2 linked regions of the Styela clava genome follow. The protein of the gene in region 1 binds, or shares a complex with, the protein of each later gene. Links are inferred from orthologs where the notes say so. Each region holds a gene or a part of one and is shown on either strand. Other genes may lie near its edges.

What was found. The genes of interacting proteins can lie anywhere in the genome.
Region 2: the proteins of rab3 GTPase-activating protein non-catalytic subunit-like (region 1) and rab3 GTPase-activating protein catalytic subunit-like are in contact, whole or in part, in a cryo-EM structure (PDB 8VYB), measured with the Homo sapiens proteins. The link is inferred for Styela clava from reciprocal best matches to the Homo sapiens genes RAB3GAP2 and RAB3GAP1. Residues at the interface, in NP_036546.2 of Homo sapiens: Arg197, His198, Pro199, Gly200, Ser276, Pro277, Phe278, Asp279, Met281, Lys282, Ser285, Asn286, Ile287, Gly289, Phe290, Asn291, Ala292, Ile294, Arg377, Phe378, Gly379, Leu380, Pro381, Asp382, Arg385, Cys395, Thr397, Leu398, Arg407, Arg415; in NP_036365.1 of Homo sapiens: Thr19, Ser21, Trp23, Glu24, Glu142, Ser143, Asn146, Leu147, Leu149, Ser150, Ser153, Ile154, Ile169, His170, Trp173, Arg174, Met176, Arg187, Asp189, Glu191, Met192, Val193, His194, Leu195, Arg196, Pro199, Tyr202, Ile211, Ser214, Lys215.

What each region holds. Positions count from the first base shown.
Region 1 is NC_135251.1:16,307,016-16,318,619, reverse strand, and holds the start of rab3 GTPase-activating protein non-catalytic subunit-like, read right to left. Parts: upstream 5,110-11,604; 5' UTR 2,743-5,109; coding exon 2,640-2,742; intron 2,136-2,639; coding exon 2,056-2,135; intron 1,349-2,055; coding exon 1,228-1,348; intron 493-1,227; coding exon 408-492; intron 1-407. Other genes in the region: uncharacterized protein LOC120335522, read right to left, coding at 6,141-11,604. UniProt on the Homo sapiens protein: Regulatory subunit of the Rab3 GTPase-activating (Rab3GAP) complex composed of RAB3GAP1 and RAB3GAP2, which has GTPase-activating protein (GAP) activity towards various Rab3 subfamily members (RAB3A, RAB3B, RAB3C and RAB3D), RAB5A and RAB43, and guanine nucleotide exchange factor (GEF) activity towards RAB18.
Region 2 is NC_135264.1:14,169,280-14,180,209, reverse strand, and holds the start of rab3 GTPase-activating protein catalytic subunit-like, read left to right. Parts: upstream 1-5,653; coding exon 5,654-5,868; intron 5,869-6,614; coding exon 6,615-6,803; intron 6,804-7,279; coding exon 7,280-7,464; intron 7,465-7,638; coding exon 7,639-10,421; 3' UTR 10,422-10,930. Other genes in the region: dixin-like, read left to right, coding at 1,110-3,020. UniProt on the Homo sapiens protein: Catalytic subunit of the Rab3 GTPase-activating (Rab3GAP) complex composed of RAB3GAP1 and RAB3GAP2, which has GTPase-activating protein (GAP) activity towards various Rab3 subfamily members (RAB3A, RAB3B, RAB3C and RAB3D), RAB5A and RAB43, and guanine nucleotide exchange factor (GEF) activity towards RAB18.

The DNA.
Region 1 (11,604 bases):
ATAAAACCTGAATATATTAAATAGGCCCATGTGACAATCCAAGATATCTCCCAAAAAGAATAAACATGAAAAATAGCTGTATTTTTCACTTAAGGGTGAGAAACTAAGCCTATTCTGTCTATACCGTGGGCGCATTGGCCAGTGGGTGAAGCGTTAGACTTGGCCGTATTGGCATTCCAGTATACACATCTAGACTTCAAATTTCATGGCCACAACGTTACCAGGGTGTACTAAAGGGACAAATTCCGGTCCTTCTCAAAAATAGTAGCTCATTGTGATCCTTAGATATGAGTGGCCGTTAACATAGGACCTTGCTCCAAGAGAAAAGAGTATAATATTGTATAAAAACTGTTATACAATTACTAACGATTAGCTTCTGCATTAACTGAGAGTAAAAAATAATATACCCCGATTCTTCTGATATTTCCATTTGTGTTGCAATTTTGTATTTTCTAGTCCCATGGCTTCTTGCACTATGACCCTCAGATTTGGCTGTAAAGCAACAATAACAGACATTAAAAAGATATTTGTTATGGTATAAATCTCGGGAATCTAATTGAAACAAATTGAACCTAAATTTGAATTCTAAATTCAAAAAATCATTTGGAAAGTAAGAAATATATTTAATATAAATTAATACGAACTATTTTCAACTATCGATGTTTGAATAATTTGGTGTTCTCAAATCAAAATGCGCGTTACTTCTGATACAATCACAATCTATAAATAATAGCCTATACTAATTTTGCGGTTAAAGGGTTAGGCTTATTAACTGAGTTCACATCGCAGGTAACACACCTATGGTTCAAATATCATGACCATCCCGTCAACCACGGTATAATACCAGAACCAGGGAAGATTCTGGTGTTTCAAAAAATAAGAGTCCCTTAATAAATATCGCTAAATATTAATCATTGTAATGTAGGTTGTTCTGAGCAAAAGCCATTTCATAAAAAAGCAGTGTTCTTATCAATCGCATTTGCAAAATTTAATTTGATATGTATATTGGTATTAAAAAAATTTCGAAACTTAAATCAAGGACATTTCTATTCATAGCACCTGTGTTTATGGTTAAATAATCAGATTCATGATTAGGATTCAGAAACATAGTCTATATTGATCGAGTTGCTATTCTTTCAAACATAATATTATTATCAAATATTCTTTGACAATTCTCAAAATAAAAAGAGTTTTTTTTTAAAAAATTCAACTTCTGTCACAACCAACCTGCAAGTAGAATGATCTTTCCAGCATAACCTATTACCAACAAATCATAGGTAGGTGAGAATGCTATCTGGCATTTATGGAACCAGTTATTTTCTTGATCATCTGAAGAATCATTCTCATCCTGATACCAGAAGAAATAATATTTAAAATATTAATATTTGTTGGTGCGAAGGCCTAGCAGGTAAAACAATACACTCATATTAAATTGGGCAGTCAATGCTGAACTGAAAAGATTATTAGCTTCTTACATCATTAGTGGCTGCTTATACAGACCCTTATTCAGAGCAAAAGCTGTGAAATAAGATCATATGAAAATGTGTGTTTCAACCCATTGTTGCTCAAGCAAGTGAAATATTCGAATCAATTTATTTATTATATTCAATATTTTAAAATCCTGATTCTAAAAATGAACTGAAAGTTTCATTTGAAATTATAATTTTAAATGTCACAGAATGACCAAAAATGCCTTACAGTAATTTAAATATCCTATTTATGAAAACTTCAAAAAATATAAATCCAATCCAATAACTGTATAACTTTACTTTCCAAAATTTATCAAAAACATGTTATTCGCTGAACATGGAAATATATTCGATAATCACGAACATTATTTTAGAATGTGTTCAGAATAGAAAGTTATTAGACTTTGGCCATCTGTGATTAAAATTCCACTAAAAGCAAAATTGTCTCAATTTCTGATGATTTATATTATTCAGACTTCTAAAAGTGATATCTTTTTTTCGATTAAAAAGAATGAAAAGTGAAATGTTCTCCCTGAAATAATTGTCCACTACTAAATTATCAATTATTAAATAATTTTTAAGCAACCTTTTGCTTGCTATTGTCTTCATTGTCATTTTCCCAATTATTCGCCCAATCATCTTCATTCCATCCATCAGCATCATTATCTATATATAATATAGGCTAGATGTTATTTTCGAATACCAGCCATGTCGAGTACTTCCATATAGTAGTTAGCTACTAACCCTTAACAATTGCTACTTGTGCAGAGCTTTGTTTAGAGTGAAAGACGTACAAATAAGCCATGTTAAAAAAAAGTAAAATGGTAGCAATTTTAGCACAATTTGTAAATTTGAGCTTGAAGCCAATATAAAAATTTGAATAGTATTACCGTAATTGATGAATTTGTTTTAATATGGAACAAGACTATTGAATTGAATAGAATGGTCATACACAGAAGAGTATGCATTATTCACACATGAATCCACCAGCACAAACCTGGATGCAACTTGCTCGAAAGAGGAGTACCTGGCGTCAAATGTGGAGGCTATCTGCTTGCAGTGGCATGAACAGCTAGTGATGATGTTGAATGTATCCAAGTATTCTACTGTTTCAACATCCAAGCCTACAATTCCCAACTATTAGTATTTAGATGATAAAATATAGCAAACCTTTCATTTGCTGTTCATTTCCTGCATCTCTGACCGGAAATAAATATTTTCTGACAGATGTAACATCCTCAATAACACAAGTTTGTTTTAAACTGCAAGCCATATCTAGTTAATATTTATGAAATTATATAACATCTTGCAAATGTAAGGCTGTAAATATAATAACAAGGCACATAAGGATGTATGATTTAAAATAAATTGAATATATAACATCTATGAAACAATATCCAATCAAAGAAAAGCCAATGATAAACCATATATCATTTGCATGAATTAGCAACACCAGCACATAATCGTTAGATCATGATTTGAAATGAAATTTCAGTACAGCAAAAGATAGAGATGACAGATATTATACTAGAGGACAAATGCTAAATTCAAAATTTAGATTGAAAATTCCAAACAATGCAAATCTCAAATATATGCAAAGAATATAGACAGAAAATGAAAACAGAAAATGAATGTGTTTACTAAATACATAACCAACTGCTTGGATTATGCCAGTGGTTCCCAAACTGTGTGTCACACAGTAGTGTGACATAATTTTGAGTGTGAGTCGAAATATAAAATCATTTTCTAAAAAATTTCCTAAACTTGCGATTGTTTATATGTACAAAAACAACCCCATATATCGCATTGATTCAATGTGCATATATTATGAAAATCCTCCTCGTCAAAATTGAAATGTCAAATATTACTTCCAACATGTCATATAGAAAAACATGTAATATAGAAAGTAAATGTATGAAGTTTGAAAAGTTTGGGAATCTCTGGACCAATCTATAAAACTTGCATTTAGAATAGCTAACATTCAAACTATTGGGTATATACTAGAAAAAATTTGAAATCTCTAGCTACTAAATATATTCAACAGACAGTACGAAAAATAGTAACATGATCTAACGTGACATTCAAGGTTTAAAAAAAATTCAAATTATAAAGCAGAAGTCTTGAATATAAACTATATTTCCAGATGTTAGTAGTACGGATGGTACTACAACATAACATATATGGAAAAATTATTTATGTACAATTTATACAATATGTATGTTGATAAAATGATAAAACAAATATATAGCGTGAAATTGCACAAACACTGATGGCCTACTATATTGGAATTACAGACATAACCAAGTTGGCGATACAGGTTAGAGATACCAGGTTCAAGTCTCACTTCCAACACTTTCCTCAAACGTGCAATAAATTCAGTAAGCTGTGCATGAAAAAACTATACAACACAACTTTTTTAAAGATATGAAAAATAAATTTCATGAAAAATCACACTTTCAGCAATGCAGTATTGAATAAGGTTTTAATTACAATTGATTAAAATTTTTTCTGAATTCACGATCTATAATGAGCAGACCAACAAAAACTGATATATTAACGAAACGCGAATACACTAAAGCACTATTACTAAAAAAGGCAATGGTAAATTTATAAAATTTAATGGACGGATTGGCACAAAAGTACGGTTGAATTCATGTCCTTCTCGTCAGTTTACCAGTTCTGGCTGTGCATGGGAATAGAAGTAGGACAAGGATAAGTTTTCCGTTTTACTGGCAATTGGAAATCTTGTTTGAATATATAGGGTGTTCATAAAGTCCAATTACAATTTTGTTATGGAATATATCTTAACAAGGTTTGTTTGATTTTAATCAGGGTTTGAGTTTTTTACCAATACAAACTATATATGGTATTGATGAATTCCCTATTAAATTTCAAAATTTTTCAGACTTTATGAAAACCCTGTATATTAGATACGGTATATAATATAACATGAAGCATTTGTTTAAATACTCAGATAATAACAAAACAAGCGTGTGGTTGTAAAAACCTGTGAAGTGGCTTCAAAACGTATTGAAACATTATCTGTTTTAATCCCACTTGAATAAAACACAAGAGTATAATCTTGTGTATTTCTATTGATCAATGCTATGTTATAAATATTTTACAATACCAAAGATAAAATCCAACAATATGTCAAATTAGGGAATTTCCAGTGAAATTTTCAACTAAATTTGCACATTTTCTCAGTAATGAAGACTATGCCAAGGGATTGGGCAATACTGCATTTTTGACGAAAATACAATGAGTACAAAACAACTCATAAATTTCTTGAACACTCTAAGATGCTTTGCACAAAGTTATGTTCTCTGTAGAACAGTGGTTCTCAAGTGGTGAGGCGCGCCCCACAAGGGGGAGGTAAACAATTTTTCGAGGGGGCGTGAAGCTAATTAAAAATAATTGATAGATTTGATCTTGCGCGCCTTATTTGTTTTTTAAAACTTTCCATTTATTCAACTATTTACGTTCCATCTATGTATTTTCAACATGTTTTTCGAATAAAATTTTGCCTTACTATTTGTTATTTGTAGCCTTCTTAGCTAGTTATATTTTTGAGATGGGGCACGAGACTTGACAAATTCTGAAAAGGGGGCGCGGCCTCAAAGAGTTTGAAAACCACTGCTCTAGAGCAAGTTGCAAACGATCTGGGTTCTGTTTTTTAAAGCACCCTTTATATAGCATCTATAGACGAGTTACAAAGCCACTTAAAAATAGGTTTAAGTTAAGGCATGTGGAAACAGTATCTTTTAAAATATGATTAATTTTTTTTTATATAGAAAAAAACCGGTTCTCAAATTCATGAGAAATTCTTAACTAAACAGAAATTAGGAGCAATATTTGAATAGTACTCAAACATATTCATAATTTTCACACAGTAAAACAATTCCAATTTATGCATCTTTAGAAATACAAGAAAATCGAAACCCCAGCTGGCATATAAATATATTCCCAAAGCGTCTTTGTTTGAAACATCAAAATGAATGACCCCTGTTATAAAGACTCAAAATAAGAATAATAAATTAGGCTAGCATCTCCAAAGCTACCGTAACTTGCTACAAGAATGAATCATTGAAAATTGCTTTAAATCTAAAATAAAAGCAACCAACTGTGCTTATAATTTCCGAATATTGCACTTAGCAAATGAAATATCATGGGACATGAACATCACACATATTAATAATGCTTATGGAATAACAAATCAATATAACAAGAAATCCAAATTCAGGTATGAAAAGAATAACATGAGCACAAGTGTGAAAATGCAATATACCAAACAATATGGTAGATGTACCAAAACAATACTTTCTACCAAGCAACCTAAATAGCACCGTATAGGTATATCGCAGAATAGAATTGAAACATGTTTCATTAAACTATAAAACTAATGAGAGATATAATCAGTTTTAGAATTTTCGAATAATATTATAGACTTGCTTTCAATTTATAAACACATATTTTAGCAAAGACAATTTTGTTCAATGAATGCGATTTATTTCACAAAGTAAATAAATTTTGTGATAAAATAGTTGGTGGTCCATACCTGAATGTATCAAAAAAAAAAACATATATGATGTACGGTATATATATTATATGATAAAAACAGTGAGACACATTCACGAAAATTCTTAAAGTCTTGTACCCCAATCTATAGCGTTATTTCTGTGCTAAGCCATGTTTTTCGAGAATTTGTTGTGATTCAAGTTCATTAAATTGCAGTAGAAGTATTAAAACTTTTGCCATAGTCCCACATTCATTTCCCATAATATATTCATACAAAATCCTCCTTAGATATTCAAGTTTATCTGGATCGGCGAGAGGTGTGGCAAGTGACACTCTCGCTTGGAACGACTGAAGCATCATTTCATTTTCGCGTTCCCTCTGTTGCGTATCAGCAAGAATTTTATTCACTTCCGCTAGTTGTTTTTTCAAATTTTCATTTTCTTGCTCCATGTCTGCACTTTGTAATTTTTTTTCAGCAGTCATAGCACGATACATGGCTTTATCAACTTGTTCGGACATATTTTTTTCCATTTCATGCATTTCTGACTCGTACTTTTCGACAACTTCTTCCATTTTCTCTTCTTTTCCTTGAATTTCTCTTTGCAGAAAAACTAGTTCCTTGTGATGATCAGATCGCACTGAATCTTCAAATGATAAATTTTTTTTCTTCATTTTTTCAAGTTTTGAGTCGAAACTCTCGTTATTTTTCTGAATTTGCGTTTCATATTCAGTCATCATTTTCTTGATCTTCTTTGTTGTTTCTTCATCTTTCTCTCGCAACCTTCTTTCAAAATCCTCTTTTAAGTTTCCTAATTTTCTTTCAACTTCCACATCTTTATCTTCAACTGAAGTTTTAGACAAAACCTCCATTTGTTTTTGCGATGAACTGATTTCATCTCGTAATGACTGCATTTTCCTCTCATAATCTTCAATTGTATCATTTAAATTTTGCTTTACAGTTTCTCTATCATTCTCCAACTTTTCACTTCTTTTTCTAGCAGCATCTAATTGGGCTTCAAGAGCTGATATCATATTCAAATTTTCTCTTTCCGTGCTGTCAATAGTCTCTTGCATATTCTTTAAACTTTCTTCAAGGGAAAGAATTTTAGCATCTGATAAGTTTTGTTTATTTTTCAAATTCTCTATTTCGTTTGCAAAATCTTCTTTTGCTACCAACAATTGTGTTTCACTCTGCAATCTCCTTTCTTTTTCTTCCTGTAGTGCCATTTCCGATCGATCTTTTTCTTCATCCATTTTCTTTTCTGTTTCTTGCAATTTTAGCTTTGCCTCTTGAAGTACTTGTTCAAGTCGATCTTTCACTTCGGCAAGTTGAGCTTGTTCATCCTCGTACTTTAATTTTTCTTCCTCCATCATATTGACAATATTTTTATCAGATTCCTCTTTGATTCTAGCTTCAATTTCCAATTTTTCTTTTTCCCATGCCGAAAGCATTTCTTGTTTTTCACTTTGTAATTGTTCAAATTGGTTTTTCAAGCTTTCAAATTCAGTCAACAATGTTTTGTTCTCAGTAATAGCAGTTTCTTTGGTTTTATTAGCTTCTTCTAAGGCTTGCACCATTTGCTCTTCCAAAGAACTCTTGTCATCTTCTAACTGAGAAATTAATTTCAGTTTTTCTTCTAATTGGGAAGTAAAAGTATTTTTAATTTGAGCGAGTCTAACTTCAGCTTTCTTTTTCAAATCTGCCATTTTCTTTTGATGTTCTTGGTTTAATTTCGTAGTTTGAGCTTCTAGTTGTTCTTTAGATTCTTTTTCCAAGTGTATTGTTTTCTCAACAACAATGGCATCCTTTTCTGCAAGTTCTTTTTTGACTTTTTCTAAAGATTTTGCCATTTCGTTGTTTTCCGCTTGCGTTAGTTTCATTGAAGAATCGTTTTCCAATTTTTCTTTTTTCCAGTTTTCAAGGTCTTCAGTTTTAGTTTCAATTTCTAATTTCATGTTTTCCAGCTTTTCATTTAAATCAGAAATTGTTGAATCTCTCTCCTTCAACTGAACTTGTGAACCATCAAATGAAGAATTGACATCCGAAAGCTTCAAATTCAAACTTTCAATTTCTTTTTCAAATTCCATAATTTTTTCATTCTTTTCATTTACATCCTCTTCCAATTTCTTGATCATTTCATCATAATTTCGACTTTGTTTTTTAGAAGATTCCATAATGTTTTTTATTTGTAGTTGCAAATCATCCACAATGTCTTTTTTCGAATGTTCTGCAATTTCTGCATCCTTTTTAACTTTCTCAGAAAATTTTTGCTGTTCAATAAGTTTACTTTCAGTCTCTTGAAGCTTTTGTTCCAAAAGGGTTAAATTTTCTTGTACAAGCTTTGCACTGTCAGTAAGGTGTTGAATATTTTTTTCAGCAGAGGCCTTTTCCTCACCAAGTTTGTGGATTGTTTCTAGCTGTGATGTTAATTCAGCTTTGGCATTTTTGAGATGAGAGTGTTGTTGTGCTATTTTTTGTTCGGCTTTAGATTTCAATTCAGTATATTTTGTTTGCCAATCACTATTCTGCTTTTCCAAAGCAGCAGCATGCTCTTTCGTCAGAGCTTCAAATTTACCTGAATGTACTTTATTTTCTGATTTTAAGCTTTCTAAAAACTTGTCATTTTCTGAAATTTTGGCATGAACTTCTTTTAACTGAATAGACTGAGCACTGAAATTTTCCGTCAGTTTATTAAATTCTGAAATCTTGGCATCCAATTCAGTAGCAACTTTCTTTTCTTCATTAGATTTGTCTTCTAATTGCTGTTGAAGATTTTTTATTTCACTTTGTAACTGAGTTAAGTTATCATTAGATATATCAAGATCCTTCATCAATTGTTCAACTTGAGATTCTTTATCAGAGTTTAACTTTCTAAATTGGGAAAGCTCAGCTTCAGCAGCATCTACTTTCTGTTTTAGATTCGTTACTTCAATCTCATTACTCTGAAACTTTTCAGTACTTGTTTTATAATCTGCTTGGAGACATGCCAAATTCTCATGGGCTTCAGAAAGTTCTTTACATTTTTGTGATTGCTCGTTTTCGAGATCAGTAATTTTTTCATGGCATTCTTGAAGGGACTGTAGAAGAGATTTTTCTTTGTCAGTGGCATCAGATGTTTCGCTTTGCAGCCTCATCTCTAAATTCCTCATTTCAGTGTCAAGTTTCTTCCTCTGTTCAGTTAATAATTCTTGCTTTTCAGTATTGAATTTGTTCGTTAATTCTTCCACTAAATGACTTTTGTTCTCATCAAAAGCATTGTTCAAACTATTCCTCAATGATTCTAAATCTTGATTGTGAGTGTTTATCATTGATTCTTTTAACGCATCATATTCTTTTTCAGATTTCTCCTTCAAGCCTTCTAATTCATTTTTCAGTTTGTTTTCCCATTCAGACTCCATTGTTTTCAATCGCATTTCATGATTTTCAACCATTTTTCTATTTTGTCCTTCCAGTTGTTCTAATTTTATTTTGATTTCATTTAATTCCGTTTTAGACTTCTCAATCATAGATTCTTTCTCTGTCACAGTCGTCTGGTTTTCTTTAACAGTGGCTTTAAATTTTTGGGCAAGTGCTTTTAATCTTCCACCAGCTTCAAGAAATTTCTTATTTGTTTCTTCTTGTAATTTCTGAAGATCCAATTTCTCTTTTTCTAAAGTAGCAATTTTCACCACAGATTCCTGTTTTTCTTTATCTAACTGTGATGATAAATCACCGATTGCAGATTTATGGCTTTCCTCCATATCCAAGACATGTTTTTTCATTGTCTGTTCTCTTTGTTTCAATTTCTCTTCAGCAGCATTGCAAGCTTGTTCAAGTTCCTGTTTCTGAGATTGTAAATTTTTCAGATTTTCCTGCAACGTTTCAAGTTCTCCATGAGAAACTTCATTCTGCTGTAAGCTTTCTTGTTCTTTCTGTGAAAAGTCCTGCTGCAAGTTTTCCATTTTACTGTTTAGTTCTTTAATTATGTTATCTTTTGCTTCAATATTCGAATTCAAATCTTCTTTTTCTTTAGTTGCACTGTTTTTGATTTCTTCTAATTCGTTTAAAGAATCCTTCAATTGTGTATCTCTTTCAAAAAGTTTAGATTCTATTTGCGAAAATTTGATACTTAAGGCTTCCCTATCACAATTCAACAGAGTGACTTCTTTTTCGAGTTGGGAAACCTTCTCTGCTTGTTGCTGAAAAAGTTCGTTCCTCTCTTTACCTTGTTCATTTACTTGTGTTTTCAAATCGTCAACTTCTTGTAAGTATGATTTCTCAGCTTCTGCTAACTTTTCAGTCCATGTCAATTCTTTTGTTTGAAGTTTGTTTTCAAACTTTTTCTTTTGATTTGTGAATTTTTCTAAAAACTCTTGAGCCTTCGAAGTCATATGATCATCATGATATTTTTTAAGGCTGTCAAGTTCGAATTTATGTTCTTCACTCGCCTTTTGAAAATTGTCTTTTAGAATGGTAATTTCCTCTTCATGTTTGTTGGCCTCATCCACTCTTGCCTTTTCAAGCTCTTCCACTTTTTGACGAACATTCTCCAACTCTGTATCTAGTTGTTTCAACAAATTCTGAGCTTCAGTGTCTTGTTGTGAGACTGCAGCCATTTTATTCAGCTCTCTCTCCTCAATTGCTAATCTCATTTGATTCTCTTTTTCATCCAATTCCAGTTTATATTTCTTTGCTTGTTCTTGCAATGCAACTTCATGCATTTTTGTATGAGCCTCTAAATCACTTTTGTGTTTTTTCATTACATTTTCAAGTTTCTCATTAATATCAAGATTATCAGCTTTTGCATGTGAAACCTCAGAAACATAAGTTTTTCTTTCCGCATCAAATTCTTCTTCAATCTTTGTAATTCTGCCTTCCATTTCTTTCTGTATAGTTTCAGTTTTCAATAAAGCATCAGCTCTTTGAGCTTCTGCTGTTCTACCAATAGTAACTGCCTTTTGAAGTTCCTCCAACAAAGAATTTTCCCGTTGCTCTTTCTTCATTTTAAATTCATCAAGATCAATTTGCAGTTTCTTGACTTGTTGATGTAAGGATTCTACTTCGATATCTTTACCTTCAAGAATCTCATGCATTTGTCGTTTGGCCTCTGCAACAGCAGTGACTTTGTCCTCTTCAATTTTCTCAATAACGTTTTTTGCTTCACGCAATTGTTTGATAAGTTTCGACTTTTCCGCAACGTTCGAATCTTTCAGGTTTTCTAATTCTTCTAATCGCTCACTAAGTTGTTCTTGTAAAGCATCACCTTGGCTTCTTAGACCTTCACAAGTATCTTTAGCAAATTTGAGTTGTTCTTCTAAGGTTTTGACCCTTTTTTGAAGCTTTGAATCATCTCCCTGGCCTTGAGCAGTTTCAGTTTGTACTGGTGGTGGAGACTTCTGCGGATCATCTTTAAGAATTGCAACTTGAGTATGAAGCACTTGTATCATTTGATCTTTTTCTTCCAGAGAAACTCGAAACTCCTCTTCGAGATGCATTTTGGCTTTCAAATCCAACGCTGCGGCTTCTTTGAGTTCCTGAATTCTGCGTAGATTTTTATCTTGGGTCTGTTGCATAACTGATTGCAACTTTTCTCTTTCTTGTTTCGCCTCACGAAAATTAGAAGCAAGTTCTGCATAT
Region 2 (10,930 bases), on another chromosome or scaffold:
TGCAGTATATTATATAAGTGTATCGCAACTTTCAGACCAGACAATTTGCTAGTTTCTACATCTGTAAATGGTAGACCTGGTACCACTTTCCTTTTAAATGCTGTAGATATGAGAGAAAATATAGCTATATAGTAAAAATAGTCAGATAGTAAGTTTATCAACTGTCATGTACAGTTTATCAACTGTATTAGCATGATAAAAGGGTATTAAGAAATTTCAGACCAGGGAATTCCAGAATAATTTAAATTGGATATATTTGATGATATTGTAAATCATTACAGTGTTAACCTTCCAAAGTGAATATTTTTGAACATAAATTGGCTTGTGCCGAGTTCCTTGTTTATCTTTACCAAAATTAGAACATACGGTATTTCATTGTCCGTTGTTCAGTAATTGAAAATATTGTTCAAAATACAAGATCACTTAATTCTGGCCATCCATAGTTTCGAATTTTCTATTTTTTTATCATAAAACCTAATAATTTTGTTTCAAACTAATCATTCTCGCATAAATCAATAGGGCCCAGTTCTCTCATTCCAAGATGTCTCGACTCCAATAAAACAAACACTTCAAAAGAGGCATCTGGCATGTTGGCAGATGCGCCATGCTTGCTAATCTGCAAAAACTCTTGAAAGCTTCGCTAAATTTTTTTTCTTAGGTAAATCAAATTATTTTTCCCCCAAGAAATCCAATTGACGTTTTTAGATTGTGCTTTCGTTTAGTTCATTGCGTAGTGCCAGTTTGTCGATATGGAGGTATAGATTGTCTCGTAAAGGAGTGGTTGGCACTCATTGCTATAATTGATGTCTTTCAATGTGGGTCTATCCCAGATTCGGAGAATTGTGTCATACTGTAAATCAATATCAGGGCAATTAGAGTCTGATATTAAAGGAGCCTTCTTTTGAGTGAAGGTGTGAAACATAATTAAATGGTAATAAAGCGTACAAGGTACCGAATATTTCTGCCTTGGCGATGTCTATTTCAAGGGTTGTCCAATGCTCTGAATTCATACTTGTCTTTCTGATGTTTTGATTGTATTAAATTAAAATTGATATTTTCATTTTTCTTTTTGGATATTATCGATATAGTATTTTTCTAAAAAAAAGGCAATGTCTGCCGCTACTGATGCCAATAACAGGCAGGATGCTTGGGACAATGAACAGAATGAGGAATATCAAAAACAAATTGAAACTTACATTGCTTGGGTTAACAGCCAGCTTAAAAAGAGAGCAGGGAATAAGCCTGTAACGGATTTAAAAACAGATTTCCGTGATGGAGTCGTTTTAGTTACACTAGTTGAAATTATTTCCGGAGAAAAATTGGATGGAGTTTATATTCCTGCGAAAAATCTTGAAGAAAAAAGACGAAATATTAATTCAGTATTAAAGTTTTTGACGAAGAAAAGTATCCGAATGCATCACATTACTGAGAAAGATGTAATTAATGGTAATGTCAAAAGTCTGATGAAATTAATTCTGACCTTGGCCGCACACTTTAAACCTGCTAGTGTCGGAAAAAAGAAAACGGTTAATGCAGCTGCAGCAGCAAATGCCAAAGTTGCACTGAGTGATATTCACAAAAATGTAAGCTTATCTGGAGGTTTTCGCCCTCGTTGGAAGAGCAGCACCCCTACCTCAGACTATAGAAGAAACAATAATAGCAGTTCCAGTTCATCCAGAACCACATCAAACCGGTCAGATCTGCCAAAAACTGGTTCAGACGAGACAGATTCATTTTCATTGAATAAATTATCTTCTTCTGATGACGTTTGGGCATCACCAAGTTTACCTCAGCGGTCCAGTAGAACTGGCAATGATTGCCTTGCGACAACAACGGTGCAGAATCTCTCTTCTATAAATAGTGAAGTTATACTGACATCTGGTGGAAGCAGGGATGCATCGAATGTTTCTGAGCAATTGACGGAACATTATAATGATTTAGAAAGTGATTTATCGAGCACTTGTGATTTAATATCAGTGTTACAAAATTTACTTTTAAATGGAGAGGAACCAGGCGATGGTGATAATGAGCAGAGTCTTCCTTTAGAAGCTTCTTCCCAAGACGAAGAAAACGTAATTCTAAGAAGTCGACTTGATTTGAGTCAACATGAAAATAATCGATTGAAAACCGAACTTACCGATGTACGACAAGAATGCAGGAGTACATCAGCAAACATATCAGCGCTGCGTAGTCGTACGCAACAACAAGAAAAAGAGCTCTTGTCAATGAAACAACAAATTTTGAAATTAAATTTGGCGAGTGATAATTTGAAACAAGAAAAAGATTATTTAGCAGCTCAAATAGAGGAAAATAAACGGGCAAAACAATCTCTATCAGATGAAGTGTCGGAAAAAAATATTACCATTAAGCATTTAAAAGATGAACTAACTTCAATGTCTACACAACTCAAAAAAATTGGAGACGAAAGTAAGAGTAAATTAACCTCTATGCAAAGGTTGGAATCACAAGTACAAGAGTTAAGTCAACAATTACGGGTTTTACAGCGTTATAAACAATCAAGTAAACCAGAACGAAATGGTAATGAAACGACTGTCATTTCAGAGTCTCTAAACAGCCTTCGTTCGAATTTAGCACCTCATGATTCACGACAACACATTATTGACACGCTTGAACAAGCAGTGATGTCATTAACGGAACGAGACCAGCGTAACAACAACCAGAATTATGGTCGTAAAAGTGAACTATCAGTGCCACGTTTATCTGCGAGTCATTCACCTAGAAATCGTAAAAAAGACATGGCGCAAAAAACTGCGTCAACGACGGTTATTTACTTCACAGAGAGAAACATGACGCCAGCCAGAGCTTCAATTTTTAAAAAAATTGGCGAAATAACTTTGCGAGATTTTAAAAGTGTAATTCAAGTACCTGCCGATAATTACAAATTCAATTTTAAAGCACTTGACCCAGAATTTGGGACAGTAAAAAAGGAAATTTTCAATGATAATGACATTGTCCCTGGTTGGGAGGGTAAAATTGTAGCATGGTTAGAAAGAGAATAGACGCTAGAACTCAGATTCACACAATTTTTATTCTTTCAGACCTTAGCCCACTGTCTATTCAAGTATCCCAATTCAAAAACTGTATTTTAAAGTTACATTTTTCCAAATTAAATTACTGTTGTAATACTTAGAGCCTATAATTCCGTTATTTATAGAAAAGCTATTTTCTGCAATAGCAGTCTCATTTGCTAGGTTAATGTATTAATTAGTCTTTATATAAATACCATTATACTGTAGGAGTCATTTGCTAGTCTTCATTAAACTGATCGTATATATATATGTATTCATATGATAAAACCAAAAATTGCTCAATATTGTTATGAAATAAGTACTAAATAACATATTGTTTAATCAGTGGAAGATGACAATAAATGCATTCAAATAAGATCATTTGAAAATACCATTTTGTGAAATTAACTCATCATGTAGTGGAATCTTTAATTCAATTCATATAATTTGGGTTATATCATGATATCAATGAAAAAAAGGCTTATTAGGAATAACCATTCTGTTATAGACATTCATATACTACTGCTATAACAATTTATATCATTCTTTATTGGTGCTGATGACAAAGTATTTTATTTCAAGTGTTTAAGTGTAATTTCATAGTTCCGAAGACATCGCCTACCTACAATATAATATATTTCAATGCATTGCCGCAGTATTATTGAATAAGCTTCTGTCACATTTTAAGGTTTTGCGAAAATCGCATTTTTCTAATTTCCATATCTTCATAGCAGGGGTTCTTAACTTGGGGCCGCAGAGCAGTTGGAGGGGGGGCCACAATTCTAGGGTCTTGAGGGCTAAAAGCCTCCGGGTGGGGGCCACGAGCCATAAACGGTTGGGAACCACTGCTTTATAGCAAAGTCTAAAATTGACATAAGGCACTAAGATAAATACAACTTTGAAACTTATACCGAAGGGGAGACCCTGTCCATAATAACAGAAGATTAATAAAGTCTGTTTCTGAAATGTGACATATGCTACTATAATTTTACTGTGGTTACACAATATCAATTTTGTCTACACATTTTTACTTCGAGGGTATAATTATCTGCATACCTCTTTTGTATGAGCTCCAATTTCTGTTCTTACAGCATTTCCGTATGATGTAGTAAATAAGTAAATAGTTCCATTTAGGTACTGTAGTTCGTTTATCTTAAAAAATTTCTTCAGTATTTTGAAAATTTTAGCATAGTTGCCTTTTTGTATAAACTTTTTGCGAAGGTGTTATAGTTACCTAAATAATTGGTGTTGTGTAATTAGTATTGTGTACCTAAGTTGTTAAAATGACTTCATAAACTGTTTCATTATGCTGTTTAAAATGAGTCTCAGTAAGCATTCGAAAGGACCAGAATCATCTAGTTTTTTATATAAGGGGTTGGGCTCGGGGGTTCAGGTCTTCCTACTTTTCATAGTTGCCAGTATTGCAAAATATTCTGGAATCAGAATGAAAAGTAACTTTCGTACCAAAATATTATTTTTTGTATGTACATTTGGTTTATGTAATCCATGGCATTTCATGATTACATGACATTACTGTGTTCAAAAAATGAATCTATGACAGCTAGGTTTTTTGATTAACTTTTTATAGTGTTTACAACTTCATTCATAAATAGTGGCATTCTAGTTAATAAGGTTACTAAAAATACAGGGGTTCTCATGGGTAAATTTAACTGCTTTGAGGGTTATTTACATTGAGGGTACTTACTCATCCTAATACATAGTGTTAATTTTATCCATATACTACAAGTTGTGGAAGTGCATAACACCTGAATATTTTAGAGCATAATTGACCTAATTGAAATGTATACAATATTATCAGATTTGAATTCTATTGTTATATTGTAATGGTTATTCATATAAGTTTATTTATTAAACCACGCACTGTCCGTTCTATTAAATATTTAATGCATGATTTAATATTTATTAAATCCGGTATTTAATTATCTCCTGTGTGAGATTTCAATTATGAAATCAAGAAATTGAGCTTTCCTTACTTTTCATCCAAAGAGAGAGAAAATTTGATTTTAGGAAACTTGAGCATATGGCAGGCAATATCTCTGATGTCTTTTACCAAATAGTGGATTTTATAAACCTATTTCTTAAGCTATGACTCCATTTAGAATACTAAAATTCATTCAAAATCATAATAATATACCAAACTTTTCATTTGATTGTTATGTATTAAATATGATTTATCCTCAAGAATTGGCGATTCCTAATTTTGGAATTTAAAACAAAAGTAAAGTTGAGGTATAGACATATTCCATTTTGGACAGATTATTTAAAAACTGTCATTGCATTGTGTCTGCGATACACTCTATAAATTCCTCAGAATTCCTCAAATGCCTCTGTTTAACTTGAGGATGCTGATTCCTGAATCTCTAATCTATTTTGAACTTTTCTATTATCTTGAACTGTTTATTTTCATATTATTTCTGTATTATCTATTTAAACCCTATATGTCATACTTCCACTTTTTCTCCCGAATAAATATTATCTTAAATGATACCTATTTTCGAAATGATATATCTTTATTATTTAGCTCATTGTGTTAAAAAATCCTTTAATTTTAGCAGATACATTTTACCATGTAGCAAAAACTTTGTGGAAATTGATAAAAAAATATGGCGGACAGTCCTTCGCGGAGTAATTCCATGGAAGAAGATGAGGAAGTGTTCGAGATTACGGATTTTACAAATGTCTCGGATTGGGAGAAATTTATTGCTCAGATATCTGAAGCTATTTCTGATTGGCAATTGACTTGTATTGAGCATGTCAGGCCGTTGAAGAAGAATGAATTAACTTTAGGAAGTTGGGAACAAGTTAGCAGAGAAATAAGGTAATGGGTATTGATTTTTTACACTAGATAATTGGATTATAAATCTCTCTTCGAAACGGTTTCTAATCTTAATTCAGGGAATGTATTGGCTTTCATGGACTCTAACAACCTCAACAAGAATTAGAAAAATGAACACACACTTTGCATCGAATAAATCAATGTTAACATTAATAATCCTTTGTCAGATATTCAAAACTCAACTGCTCTAGTGAAACATAATTAAATAATTCATGGTAGTAGGATTGAAATTAATATGCTGTACCCAACAATCGCACACATGTATTATGTGAATGGATACTTGAGATTCTTTGATTGACTCTCACATTACAATATAAGAAAGGTATTTTTCATTCTACTCATATAAGGGCTCTTTAGTTTACAATTTTGAATTTCTTTTGCTATTTCAGAAGCTAGAGAAATATCCTATTGAGCTTGAAGCTTTTTTAATATTGTTTGAAAGCTTATCAAAGTATTGTTTATAGTCTGTCATACTTTGGTAAATAACAAATTTTAGGCAAAAATAGGACCTGGCCTGACCCGAACCCAATTTGTTTGTAATAATAATAATCAATAAAACATAATAGAGTAGAAAATGGATCGATTAGGAATACATTCTGCGTTCCTGGTTTAAAACTATTCTAAGAGGGTATTTGAATAGTATTTCATTCGATTTTCACTGTCCTAGACTTGACAGTGATAAAATTTAATACAGTCCATAATCTGACAATACTAACATTTATTTACAGGTTTTCGAATGCTGTCTTCATGTTGACGTTATATCGACTGAAACAAACTGGTCGAAATGAAGATGAAGAAATCTACCATGAAGAATCTGAAACAACTCTAGAAGATGAGCTGTGTTTACCTGTGTATATGGACGATATGATGTCAACTAATAATGATTTTCCTCCAAGAGCTCATTGTCTTGTTCGATGGTACGTCACAATGTCTCAAACTAGATTTTTGAGCCACAGAATATTTTTTCATTATATTTTGTTTGAAATACCAAATGTTTTTCAGCTATCTGGATTTTATGTCTTGAAACCTCTAATTGGGGTCGTAAAACTTCAGAGTTTACTGTCAAGTGTTGACAGTCTCATTTTATATTCAATTATTGAAACACCGTAGCCTATTTCAAATTACATGTCCCGCTAAATTTTGTGCCCAATATTATTTTTTTGCTCCGCTCATGCCATTTAAAACTCAATATTAATCTTTCCTTGTTCTGAATTTAATGTTGTCAGGCAGCATAGCAGTAGACTAATGGGGTCGTAAAATTTCAGAGTTTACTGTTGAGTGTTGACAGTTTCATCTTAAAACCAAATTGAAATCAAATATTGCTAAATTTTATGCCCAATATTATTTATCTGCTCTGCTTGTGCCATTTAAAACTCAATATTTCCCATTTTAGGTACGGATTCCGATCTTTCCTTGTTCTCAATTTAATCTCGTCGGGCAGCAACGCAGTGGACGGTTTGACAAGCGAATCAAAATGCAACTTGCTTCTCAGCTCGGCATGTATCGTATTATCAGATTCCGGGTGTGAAGTCCCAATATTTATTCAGATTCAACAAAACTGGAGAAAAATGTTTACAGGTGAAGACAATATTTCTGGACCTATTTCTAAGTAGCTAGAAGTACTACGATTGAGGTTTTATGTGTTATCATATGCATGCACATTTAAGCATTGAAGAAAGATAAGTAGTTAGTCTCATAGAAACTCAATCATCGGCACTAGATATTAAATTAAATATAATTTTTTTTTTTCAGGAAGATGTGTTGGTACTGGAATGCAGACTGAATTTGAGATGATTCATTTGAAGAAATCCCCTCCTCAATATCAGCATTTATCCGGTTTGCTTCATATTTTCAAGTCAAAAATAGGGCGGACTTTATCACCAGTGCAAATATCAGCACGGTTCACTTACGTATTATCAAATTGGGGCGAAAAGGGGGCGTGGCCACAGGAACAAGTAGACCCAGACATTGCTGCACAAACTTTCGATAAATTCCTATTTGGATGTTTGGACGACCCAATAGGTGATCTTCAACTTTCAGCCATGTGGCCGGCGATTAACGAAGGTCTGATTGTGGAAAACGACGTGCACTCTGACTTTAAACCAATCTCGGCACCGGTGTGGACAATAAGACTCCATTACACTGATAATCCAGAATGCCTGTTAAGCGGTTACATTAAAGAAATGTTGAAACTCAGAACATGCAAAGAAAGCTTTGGTAATTTAGTCACGACAGCACCGAAGTCGCAAGATGCAGAACAAGATATAAGTCAAGCGCTAAATAAAATGACAGACCCGTCTCATAAAGTTAAACAAATGGTTCCACTGATGCCTGAATTTACATCTGGTCTTTCAAAAATTGTGACATCACAAAGATCAATGTGGTCTCGGAGAATGCAGGTTTCATCTTATGCAACTCTCGGCCCGATTTCTCAATCAATGATTGAACTTATTATGGAATATTTGTTACCTGAAGCTCCGTCAAATGAAGGTCAAGGGTCGTCCAAAGGTGTCAGTAGTGAGAATGAAAAAGGTACTTTCGTACATGAATTGGAACATCAAATTAAATCTGCTCCGAAAGATAGCTTGACGTATCGCCTGGCGCTTTGTGTTACGGTGATTAATTTTTGTCACGGGGGAGTTGCAGCTATTGCTCAAGTTTGGCATGAATTTGTGCAAGAAATGCGATATCGATTCGAGAACGGAGTTCTTTTGTCCGGAATTACTTCTGGGAATCCAGATTTACGATGTTGCCTTTTTCATCAAAAGTTGCAAATGCTTAATTGTTGCATCCAGCATAAAATCAATAGGGAGAAAAACCAGAATTCTGTGATTGACGATCTTCCACAAGAAGATGAAGATTCAGAGAATCTTGATAAAACTGAAAACAAAGATGTAGATTCTTCAAATGAAACTAATATGGAAAAGGGAGAGGATTCTAAGATTCAAGATAGTTCTCCTGAAATTTCATCTGCTCAAGATCTAATTTTATCAAATGAAGAGTCTCCTAAGCAGGAGGATGATAGTGATAAACATAAAGATCCAGGTCAACTTCCTAGAGAGGATTCTACAACCTCTATTGGTGCAGAATCTGCTCCTAGATCACCAGGATGGCAAGAGGAAGTGAGCTCTATTGATGATGATGAATTTTTTGAGTGTGATGAAGGGGGTTCGATACCAGACCCGGACGAGGTTGATAAAACTGTAGAGGAAACTACTTTGCAAGAACAAACAAACGAAGATATTGCCAGTATTGAACAAAACGTGAATGCTGATGATATAGAAATTGATGAAGTAAATTTATCTGGCGATAATTCCAGAAATAATGAATTTCCTGAAGAGAAATCAGATTTACAAGATAATATAACGGAAAAAGAAAAACCGATGGATTCTGAAAGAAATATCACTCAAATGGATACTGAAGAGCCTGAAAGTTCTAGACCTGAGAATAGCGCTGATAGTATTAAAGATTCCATTGCTAAAGAGAACACAAAGCCTATGGGAAGATCCAAGCGATTTGGTTCTGCCAGACTTTTAAATGTTGATGCATATTTGTACATTCCGGTCACACAAGAATCTGCACCTTTAACGGAAGATGCATTAGAAGAACAGACCAAGATCTTCTCCAGCTTAGGGGACTCTGCTGAAGGTGCTTTGCTTCGTAGAAAAATGCAATCGGCGTCGCTGCTTTCTGACATGGAGTCTTTCAAAGCTGCCAACCCCGGATGCGGACTTGGTGATTTTGTTAGATGGTATTCTCCGAGAGACTATGAAGAGAAGACTGATGCTAATGGCGTCACCATAGGCGCTCTTTCAGAAAGAATGCAAATCCCTGGAAATTTATGGCAAACTATGTGGAATAGCGCTAAGCCCATACCAGCACGTCGACAAAAACGTCTTTTCGATGATACAAAAGAGGGTGAAAAAGTTTTGCATTTTTTATCGTCTCTGCAACCTAAAGATTTGGCTATTTTACTTCTACCAATTTGCTACCATGAAGCAATCTGTGTTCTCCAAAGCAAGAGTGATTCTAAGGTGTCGAGCGTGCCTTCTCTCTGTAACCAAATCTTGACTCAATCGTCTAAATTATTCCAAACGCATTACAAAGATAAATGGGAGCAAATGGACGACATTTGGCAAAAAATACAGTTTTCGGAAACTCTCATTGAACGTGCGATGTCCCTAAAGCACAAATTCGCAAGTGTTAAAGACGCGGAAACATTCGTACGAAAACTGGTAGAACACCCGGAAGTATCTTTAGAAGGTGCAGCAAACGGTGACATCGGAAAACTCGTAAAGCAATATTTTCTCGACCAAAGTGCCGCTAGCTTGCCTCAATATTTACAAGAAGACGAACCTCCACAAACCAGAATGCCTAGTCTGCCACCACCTAGTGGCAGAGAATATATTTTGCGGAGTACTGCTCCCCGACCTTCCAGTCAATCAAGACCACTGCCTCACAGGCTTTATGCTGTGCAACTCAAAAATGAATTTAGACTGGCTGGAGCGTTTTCCAGTGATACTGTATTTTTCTAATGTTATACCGTGGGTCTAACATTGTTCTATTTTGCACTTCACTAAATAATTTTAACATCAATTAATGGAATCTATAACTCTGTAAATGATTTCTAAAGCTTAGACCCAAATTTTGACTTGTCCAATCTTTTAAAAAAAAAATTCTCGAAGTTAGGGGATCCCCAAAACAGCGCTCTTACTCCATAGTGACACCTTGTGTCCCATCACTACTAATTAATTAGTAACTCGCTAATTATACGACAAAATTCATCCAAAACCAATAGGCTTCTGGTCCGACATATGATGAATGCACATGCAAAATCTGGAGCAGATGCAATGTCGCTTCCGTTAAATATCGCGTGTATCTAACAGACAGATAGACAAACAAATACCTATCAACATACTTACCGATTAAAATTGATAAGTAACAAGTATAAAAGAAGAGTTACTTACATATGTTGAGGTTTGATTGTCTGATTTTGGATATAACACACGCGTTAAATTTTTTGCTTTCTTGCGCAAAGGCTAGT